Daphnia pulex: one gene and its partner. The protein of the gene in region 1 binds, or shares a complex with, the protein of each later gene. Links are inferred from orthologs where the notes say so. Each region holds a gene or a part of one and is shown in the gene's direction. Other genes may lie near its edges.

The links.
Region 2: the proteins of methylmalonyl-CoA mutase, mitochondrial-like (region 1) and methylmalonic aciduria type A homolog, mitochondrial-like are in contact, whole or in part, in a crystal structure (PDB 8GJU), measured with the Homo sapiens proteins. The link is inferred for Daphnia pulex from reciprocal best matches to the Homo sapiens genes MMUT and MMAA. Residues at the interface, in NP_000246.2 of Homo sapiens: Lys496, Glu609, Arg610, Glu611, Gly612, Arg613, Arg614, Arg616, Ala635, Thr636, Ala639, Asp640, Gly642, Phe643, Asp644, Val645, Asp646, Ile647, Gly648, Pro649, Leu650, Phe651, Gln652, Glu656, Gln659, Gln660, Val662, Asp663, Ala664, Asp665; in NP_001362573.1 of Homo sapiens: Arg98, Ala99, Ala102, Glu103, Thr106, Glu109, Ser110, Thr111, His112, Ser182, Ser186, Gly187, Gly188, Ser189, Leu190, Leu191, Lys194, Thr195, Met197, Thr198, Ser201, Arg202, Met204, Tyr207, Ile208, Arg209, Pro210, Ser211, Pro212, Arg214.

The regions. Positions count from the first base shown.
Region 1 is NC_060028.1:10,601,244-10,605,724, forward strand, and holds the start of methylmalonyl-CoA mutase, mitochondrial-like, read left to right. Parts: upstream 1-1,465; 5' UTR 1,466-1,639; coding exon 1,640-1,696; intron 1,697-1,753; coding exon 1,754-1,914; intron 1,915-1,983; coding exon 1,984-2,178; intron 2,179-2,239; coding exon 2,240-2,423; intron 2,424-2,478; coding exon 2,479-2,613; intron 2,614-2,682; coding exon 2,683-2,880; intron 2,881-2,941; coding exon 2,942-3,250; intron 3,251-3,308; coding exon 3,309-3,498; intron 3,499-3,561; coding exon 3,562-3,671; intron 3,672-3,741; coding exon 3,742-3,894; intron 3,895-3,968; coding exon 3,969-4,064; intron 4,065-4,140; coding exon 4,141-4,287; intron 4,288-4,352; coding exon 4,353-4,481. Other genes in the region: uncharacterized protein LOC124210015, read right to left, coding at 47-237, 309-460, 528-628, 697-765. UniProt on the Homo sapiens protein: Catalyzes the reversible isomerization of methylmalonyl-CoA (MMCoA) (generated from branched-chain amino acid metabolism and degradation of dietary odd chain fatty acids and cholesterol) to succinyl-CoA (3-carboxypropionyl-CoA), a key intermediate of the tricarboxylic acid cycle.
Region 2 is NC_060024.1:5,534,161-5,538,451, forward strand, and holds methylmalonic aciduria type A homolog, mitochondrial-like, read left to right. Parts: upstream 1-1,525; 5' UTR 1,526-1,685; coding exon 1,686-2,028; intron 2,029-2,101; coding exon 2,102-2,224; intron 2,225-2,289; coding exon 2,290-2,460; intron 2,461-2,527; coding exon 2,528-2,613; intron 2,614-2,679; coding exon 2,680-2,829; intron 2,830-2,889; coding exon 2,890-3,051; intron 3,052-3,117; coding exon 3,118-3,249; 3' UTR 3,250-3,609; downstream 3,610-4,291. Other genes in the region: nucleolar transcription factor 1-like, read left to right, coding at 1-227, 291-462, 521-658; galactosylgalactosylxylosylprotein 3-beta-glucuronosyltransferase S-like, read right to left, coding at 3,845-3,882, 3,953-4,094, 4,166-4,291. UniProt on the Homo sapiens protein: GTPase, binds and hydrolyzes GTP. Involved in intracellular vitamin B12 metabolism, mediates the transport of cobalamin (Cbl) into mitochondria for the final steps of adenosylcobalamin (AdoCbl) synthesis.

The DNA.
Region 1 (4,481 bases):
TTAAATTGAGCAATAAAATTTTTATCGTTTTTTTTTAATTTCCAACTTACGATAAATTGTGTCCATTGGTCGCGGCGGGTGTTATGGTGACCACTACTGGAATGTTGGTCAATGCGGGTGCTTCATTTTGTTTTTTGTGGGGTTCAATCCATTTAGCATCGTGAATTAATATTGTATTCATACAGAGCGCTGCTACTCCGTAAATGAGGAACAGCGAATCCAGGGCTATGCGGCTGCCTAAAATATAATTAAGATGAGTCATTTTAAATTTCAAATAAGAAAGATTTCAATGTTCTGTTGGTCCTTACAAATAGAATGCCCCATGTACAACGTCGCACCACAAGTGTACCCGGAAGAAATCATGTCTCCGTACAAAGTAAAAGACCAGATATAAAGGCAGATCATGATAATTCCACTCATGGCTGATAAAATGGAAAAAACTAGGACCATAATGTTGTGCCTGAACAAGTCATACATGAATCATTTAAAACGGTGTTTCCGCAATTTTTAGTTTTTTAATTTACAACCTTTTAATGATCACAACTCCCGTTACCATAACGAACATTCCTCCCCATAAACCCGAACCAGTCGTGTCCATTGGTAGAGAGTACATCACAATGGCTGAATACTAAATGAATTCATTCACCGAAAAAATAATTAAGTATAGTCTGTAATAACTGGAAAAAAATTTCTTACCTCTGTCATAATCATCGTTATGCCAAGAAGAATATCAAAAAAGCCGAAAACTTTCACTCGAGTTTCCATTTTTTCTGCTACTTGCGAAAGCGACGCTTGACAAGTACTGAACTATTGTCTGGCCATGACGTTTACCTTAATTCCAGATTTTTTTTTTTTTTTTTAACTTGATAACATTTTTATTTGATATCGAAACACGTCCTTTCAGTCCATTATGTCTGTCCAGTTATCTGTTCGCTTTGTATTGACAGTGTCAGGTGGACGTAAGCCGTCCACCCTTCGATTACCAGGGTCAGTCCTAAAAAACTCTTCCTGGTTTTTATCTGATTATACTTTGAACTCGAACCAAAAAAATTAAATTGGTCTATTTGAGTATTTGAGAAAATTGTTGTTTTAATTTTGAAGATTGCAAATTGTTTCAATTCCCGGAATAATTACGACTATACGTAAATCAGAAATATAAAGTGCATTTGAACGTGCTCCAATTTGTGCGTTTTAAAAACTTCCGGTTAGGAGTCTTGACTTGTAGATCATCATAAATTCATAAGAAATATAAAATAAGAGTTAAATTCATTGACGCGGAGGTTAAGTAGATGGGGGAAATGGGAGATGTTTACCATCACGGAATGGGAAGTGTAATTACCATCACGATATTATAGTTTCATAAAGAGGAAATACATTAGGTATTCACACAGTCATTTCCGGGAAAATTATTCATAAATTCGCGTTATTCTTTACCTAAACGTCCATCTAGCGGCCGTTTTAGATACGAGCAACTAAACTCCACTAGCAGACGATTTTGAAATTTCTTAGGCCACCAGTGTTTTGCGGTGTTTACATTTTGCTGCACAATTTCCCTCCATTTGTTTTCGTCTCCAACACGTTCTTTATTCGATAAGGCGCAATTGTAACAAAAAGTTGATAATTGAAACTGTCTGTTGCCATGGCTTCTTTTCTTTTGAGATATTCTAGCTCACTTCGTTTAATCTCAGCGTCGCAAGTAGAAAAATATTTTCCAACATTGATAAAAAGTTTATTGCATAAATCTTTTGCTTAGGTGAGCCAATTCAGATGTTTGCATAGACAGCCTCTTGATCCTGAGTGGACAGCCTTGGCAAAAAAACAGTTGAAAGGTAAAAATCCAGAGGAAGAACTTCTCTGGTATACATCAGAAGACATCACTTTGAAACCAATCTACACAAAAAAGGATGTTGAAGGGTACATAGTAATAAAATGTTATTAAACTTCACTGATCATAAGAAATCCTAAATCTTTTAAAACAATCAGGCTTGAACATGAGTTACCGGGAAAGTTTCCTTATACTCGTGGTCCATATCCTACAATGTACTCCCAAAGGCCATGGACAATCAGACAGTATGCAGGTTTCAGCACAGTCGAGGAAAGCAACAAGTTTTATAAAGAAAACATTAAGGCTGGTCAACAAGGTTTGAGTGTGGCTTTTGATCTTGCCACTCACTGTGGGTTAGTAAAAACATGTTTTAGTCTTTATTTTCTGATATACCTAATATTCTTTGTATGTTAGGTATGACTCTGACAATCCACGAGTTTATGGTGATGTAGGAATGGCTGGAGTGGCTATTGACAGTGTTGAGGACATGAAAGCACTCTTTGATAGTATTCCTCTAGAGAAGATGTCTGTCTCTATGACAATGAATGGGGCTGTGATTCCAGTTTTGGCAATGCATATTGTTGCTGCCGAAGAACAGGTATGCAAATACATGTTTAAAAATAAATAAGCTGGTAATGATAATATGTTAACAGGGTGTGAAAGCGGAACTCTTATCAGGGACGATTCAGAACGACATTTTAAAAGAATTCATGGTTAGAAATACCTACATCTACCCTCCAGCTCCCTCCATGAGAATCATTGGTGATATCTTTAGTTACATTTCTGCGGTACCAAAATTTTTTGTGATGTCGGCCATCATTCGGCGTATTGTTGATTATTATCATTTTTACATACAGAAAATGCCCAAGTTCAACTCAATCAGTATATCTGGTTATCACATGCAAGAGGCTGGTGCCACTGCAACTCTTGAACTGGGATTCACTATGGCCGATGGCATTGAATACTGTCGAACAGGCTTAAAATCAGGTTTATCAATCGATGCGTTTGCACCACGTCTTTCTTTCTTCTTTGGCATTGGAATGAATTTTTACATGGTAAACAAATCTTGTAACATTTTAAATCCCTTGAATTTGTAATTATCTGTGCTTTGAACAGGAAATCGCCAAGCTAAGAGCAGCTCGTCGTCTCTGGGCTCATTTGCTCCAGGAAAATTTCAGTCCAAAGAGCCAAAAGTCGTTGGCATTGAGGACTCATTGTCAGACGTCTGGCTGGTCACTGACTGCTCAAGATCCGTATAATAACATTGTCCGCACGACAGTTGAAGCTATGGCTGCCGTTTTTGGTGGCACCCAGTCCCTTCACACCAACTCATTTGATGAAGCTTTGGCTTTGCCTTCCAAGTTTTCTTCCCGCATCGCTCGTAACACACAAATCATTCTACAAGAAGAAACAGGAATACCAAAAGTTAGATCTAAAATGTTTTAAAATTGTTTTATATATTTATTGGAAGTTCTCTCAATAGATCATTGATCCATGGGCCGGCAGTTATATGATGGAGAACCTAACTGACGAGGTTTACAACAAAGCAAAACGAATTGTGGATGAAGTGGAGCAAATGGGTGGTATGGCCAAAGCTGTAGCTTCTGGCTGGCCAAAATTGAAAATCGAAGAATGCGCAGCTCGTCGCCAAGCTCAAATTGATTCCGGCTATGGTACTTTTATTTTATTTCCATTCTGACTGGCAAAACTTAATCGCAAATATTTGAATTATTCAGAAACAATCGTGGGTGTAAATAAATATCAACCGGAGAACCCGGAACAAGTAGACGTTTTGATGATCAACAACGAAGAAGTTCGAAACAAACAAATTGATAAAATCAACAAGGTAAATTCTACTTTGCTAACCAAACATTTAAACTAAAATATTGAATCTGTTATTCAATTATTTATTGCAGGTTAAAGCAACCCGTGATTCGGCCAAGGCAGAACAGTGTCTCAAAGCGATAACAGATTGCGCTGCCGGTGCCGAGGGCAATTTATTGGCCTTGGCCGTCGAGGCTTCTCGTGCTCGCTGCACCGTAGGCGAAATAACCCAAGCCATGGAAAAAGTAGGAAAAATCTTTTCTTTATTTTTCTTCTTTGATTTCTACGCATTCTAAAAATGGGGCTTGGTAACCAACAGGTGTTTGGTCGTCACGTAGCGCACGACACGATGATATCTGGGGCCTATAAAAGTGAATTCGCCGACAAGGAGCAGTTTGAAGTAGTCGCCAAAAAGGTAGGTTGAACCAAATTTGAATTTGCATGTCAATTCCAAATGATAATTCAACCGGCGAGGGCGATTCCCGTGATAGATTGATGAGTTGGTGGCCTTAGAAGGTCGTCGTCCACGCATCCTGGTCGCCAAGATGGGACAAGACGGACATGATCGTGGCGCAAAAGTTATCGCTACTGGATTCGCTGACCTTGGCTTCGATGTCGACATCGGCCCTCTATTCCAGGTGTGTCTCTTTCGTTATTCCGGGTGCCCCCCAGTAGAACTTAATGGTTTTTCACTTGTTAAAAGACTCCGCGTGAAGTTGCCCAGCAAGCCATCGACGCTGACGTTCACGTCGTCGGAGTTTCATCGCTGGCGGCTGCCCATCGGACTCTTGTACCCGAATTGATTAAGGTCTTGAAAGAGATGGGCAGATCA
Region 2 (4,291 bases), on another chromosome or scaffold:
ATTTCCGCATCTTCAAAATCTCCAGAGGGTTCCACTGGTTCGCCGTCGAAAAAATCCGCGGCAAGTGCTGATTCGAAATCTGACAAACCACCTTCCCAAATCAATTCCAATATGAAGTCATCAACAGAAAAAATGGCTTCAACAACACTGAAATCATCTTCTTTGGCGGCCAGTCATCAATCGTTATTCAAAGCAGAGAAGATGACTGAACCACTTAAACCACCAGCGTAATTGAAATTTCTGTTATACTGTGGAGTGATGGTACCATTGAAATATTTTTTCATTATTAGGAGTGCTGCTGCTTATTACGCTATGACGCATCATTCCAAATTGGGTCAACTTACTCATGCTGAAATCGAGGTTCTTTGGGGAAGGGTGTCTGAGAAAGAGAAGAAGAAGTTCATTGAAGAACTCAAAAAGGTGCATAAAGACTACGTTCGCGAATTTGAAAAATTCATCAGGGTAATTTCAAGCGTTCCATTTTTGTACTAATTTTATGTAATCGAATTTTGTAATTTAGACATTGAATCCAGCCGAACTTAGATCTTATCGCACAATTATGAGAAACCGTGCTCGGGATGAGGAGGAAGAAGTTAAAGAAAGTTCTGACGAAGAAAGTTCTGATGAAGAAAGAAATGACGAAGAAAGAATGTTGTGAACCGACTAGTTCCAATGAAACAAGTGGCGCTTTCTCCGGCGATGACCTTCTAATTGCCTCGGAAGAAGACTAAACGGGCTGATAATGTACCGTTTAAAAGTGTTAAATTGAAATGTTAAATGTTTTTTACCAACCTAGAAACTTCGTTAAGTACCTACCAATTAGTTATTGGTCGTCAAATTGGTGTTGAACATCCGTTAATTCAGAATCTCTAGACCCTTAAAATAAAATGCGTAAACAAAGCCAACGGACATTCTTTCCGATAACCCAGATGGATCTCTAGAGAGTCGGGATCTTTTTTATTTTTCTAGTATACTAGTGGGCTTTCTTTTTCTCGGAATATGCAATACCACACATGTCCAATCGACAGCGGCGCCGTCATTTCTTACTCTTACAAAGTCAAATAATTAAATAAAGATATTCAATTCGGAAAGACCGAAAGAGAGACAGGAATAGGCAAAAAGTAACTGCATTCTTTATATTCATTTGGCTGCTGGGCCTATTCATACGAACGTGGGCCGTTACAGACGACCGAAAACAAACTAAAAAGACATCAACTATAGATATATGTAGATCAATATATAGATTTTTAAAAAATGCAATTTGTATATTTCACAATCTGCCAATACCAATATACCATCATTCGTTAATAACTTAAAACTTTTTTTAAAATGACCAATCCAGGATAAAAATACGCAGTCAAACAGGAATAAACCTACTGCCGCCGTGCCGCGGGACGTTTAGTCGTTTACAAACGTTTTTTGACGCTTAAATAAAATTGGCAACTTCGGACGTTAGGCCAACTCTATTCCAAATTTCCAATGCCTTGAAATTCTGCAACAATGGATTCCGCATTTTAGCCTTTCGCGAGGAGGCAATCGATGTTGTGTTGTTTATTTCGACTGCAAATCGTCGTCTGCTTAATAACACACAACTTGTTTACGTTTTACTTAATTCAAAATTCTCTCATATTAAACCGACCTCAAAATTGTGAGTTTAAAACTGAAGTTGTTGTGAGTGTAATAAAATGCTTAGACAATTTATTCCTGGGGCATACAAGATTCTGAATGGACATAATATATTAACGGGTGGGAGTGGTAGGACGTCAGTAAAAAATATTCATACTTTATCGAGATCATTTCAAATCGTCGTTCAATCATCGCAAGAACTTGACAGTCGGGAGGAAAATGTTGTAGATACACTCTATAATGGTTTATTATCGTCGAATAGAGCTTGTTTGGCTAGATCAATAACTTTAACAGAGTCAACCCATCCAAGAAAACGATTGCAGGCCAGATCCCTGTTGAAGAAAGCTCTGCAGCACTGCAAACAATGTCAACAAAATGACAATTCATTCAGTTTTCGGATCGGTAATAAAATGTGGCTTAGATTTTACAATTTACGAGAAACAAAATTGTTTATTAACTTTGTGATCAATTTCAGGATTATCAGGGCCACCAGGTGCCGGAAAATCAACATTCCTGGAAAACATGGGCAAGTTTCTTACCAGTCAGGGGGAAAAAATTGCTGTTTTAGCAGTTGATCCATCTTCTACCACAAATGGAGGTACATCCAAAATGCCGTGAGCAAAATTAATTTATAGATCAAATTCACTTTTCAGATTTCACTAGGATCACTGATGGGTGACAAAACAAGAATGCAAGAACTTTCACGAGACCTGAATGCTTTTATACGTCCGTCGCCGACCAGTGGACATTTGGGTGGTGTCACTCGTTCCACAAATGAGGCCATAATTATGTGCGAAACTGCTGGTTACAAGACGGTTTTCATTGAAACGGTTGGTAAGCTTCCCATCTCCTTGCCAAATATCAACTAGTCAACAGCAGCTTCTGTGTTCTCAATTTTTAGGTGTAGGACAGTCTGAATACGCCGTAGCGGATATGGTCGACATGTTTGTTGTTCTGATTCCGCCGGCTGGAGGAGACGAACTTCAGGTTAAAACCCCATTCAATTAGCTTTTCTTCCACTTTATGATAAATCTCTTTTTGTTATTCGTTTAGGGGTTGAAACGCGGTATAATGGAGCACAGTCACCTGGTAGTTGTGAACAAAGCCGATGGAGATTTGATGGAAGCCGCGATGAGAATGCAGTACGAATACACTTCATCACTCAAGTTCATGCGACCAATATCACCGAATTGGCGGCCGAAAGTATTGACCCATGTAATTAAATCTTTGAATCAATTCAGTGACATTTCGTTCTGTTTTTAGGTCCTGAAAGTCTCTTCGCTAACCAAAGAAGGACTACCCGAGTTATGGGCCGTCATGCAGGAGTTCCACCAGACCATGTTGAGAACGGGCGAGCTTCTGGAAACGCGTCGCAAGCAGCAGCGCGTTTGGATGTGGAACTACATCACTCAGCATATCATGCAGGTATAGTTCGTAGTCGACCGAGTTGTGTCCCAGTTTGATGTTTGAAGGTTTTTCTGGCGTCTTTAGGTGTTTCGCGAGGATCCCCGAGTCAAGCGCGACATCCACGAAATGGAAAAGAATGTCGAACAAGGCTGCATGACAGCTGGCGAAGCTGCCGAAATATTACTGCATCATTTCGTACCTGATAAAATGTTTTGATTATTCAAATAGATTTACTTGGAAGGTGAATGTATACAGTTGCTTAGTAGTAGCTAAGTACACTCATATTTTACGTTGAAGTTGTTTTCTTAACACTTTAACCAGAATTTACCTACGCTGTTATGATTTACACTAGGAATTGTTAGAGAAATTATTCAGATTTAATCATTAGTATCATTGTATTTAAATTCCATATCTTGTCTGGATAAGCAGTTAAAAAAAGATTCCATGTTATACTCGAAAATCTCGACTAAAATTACGCCATCAGGAAGATTGAATTGCAATAGAAGAACGATTGATTATTGTTTTTTTCTTGTAAACTATCACAGGTGGAATCCATAAATGAGTATATAAAGGGCACACGGTAATTCGTTTTCTTTTTTCTTGCAAATAAAAAAACCTACAAATGACGACGATGCAATCGTTTTTCATAAAAAGTTTTCACTCGGCGTTACACACATTCCCATCAATTTCTCCGATGTCGACAATCTCGTAGTTTTAAGTCTTATTTTTTCCAATGGCACTGAGTAAACACAGGAAGTTTTATATAATTTTTGACTCTTTGAATTCCGCCGCCAGGCGAAAGTGATTAATATCAGACATCTGTCAGATAGTGCACAGAACTGGGTTTTCCTGTTGGGTAATTCAAAATAAAAAGATGAGACAATATTTCAATAATCAATAATCAACATGAATGTTATACCTCTTGAAGTAGAGAAAGAAGCTAGTTTATTTTCGTCTAAAGCGTGAAGCAGTCCCGAAATGGAAGTATCGTCTATAATAAGGGTGGGTGGCTGTAACATGGCCATAGGCACTTGAACGGTACGAGTGTGCCACACTAAAATCTGTTCAAAATAAAATAAAATTTGTTTTCAATTTAGTTTCTGACAAATTAAATGATACAAGGTTGAACTACCTGGGTACAGTTAGCTGCTTTGGCTTCAATGAAACCAACATCCGTGACTATTTCTTGTAAAAAGCTGTCCTCCTCGAAACCGACTTTATAAACGAAGGTGGCGTTGGGAAACTGGTGGAGCAATTT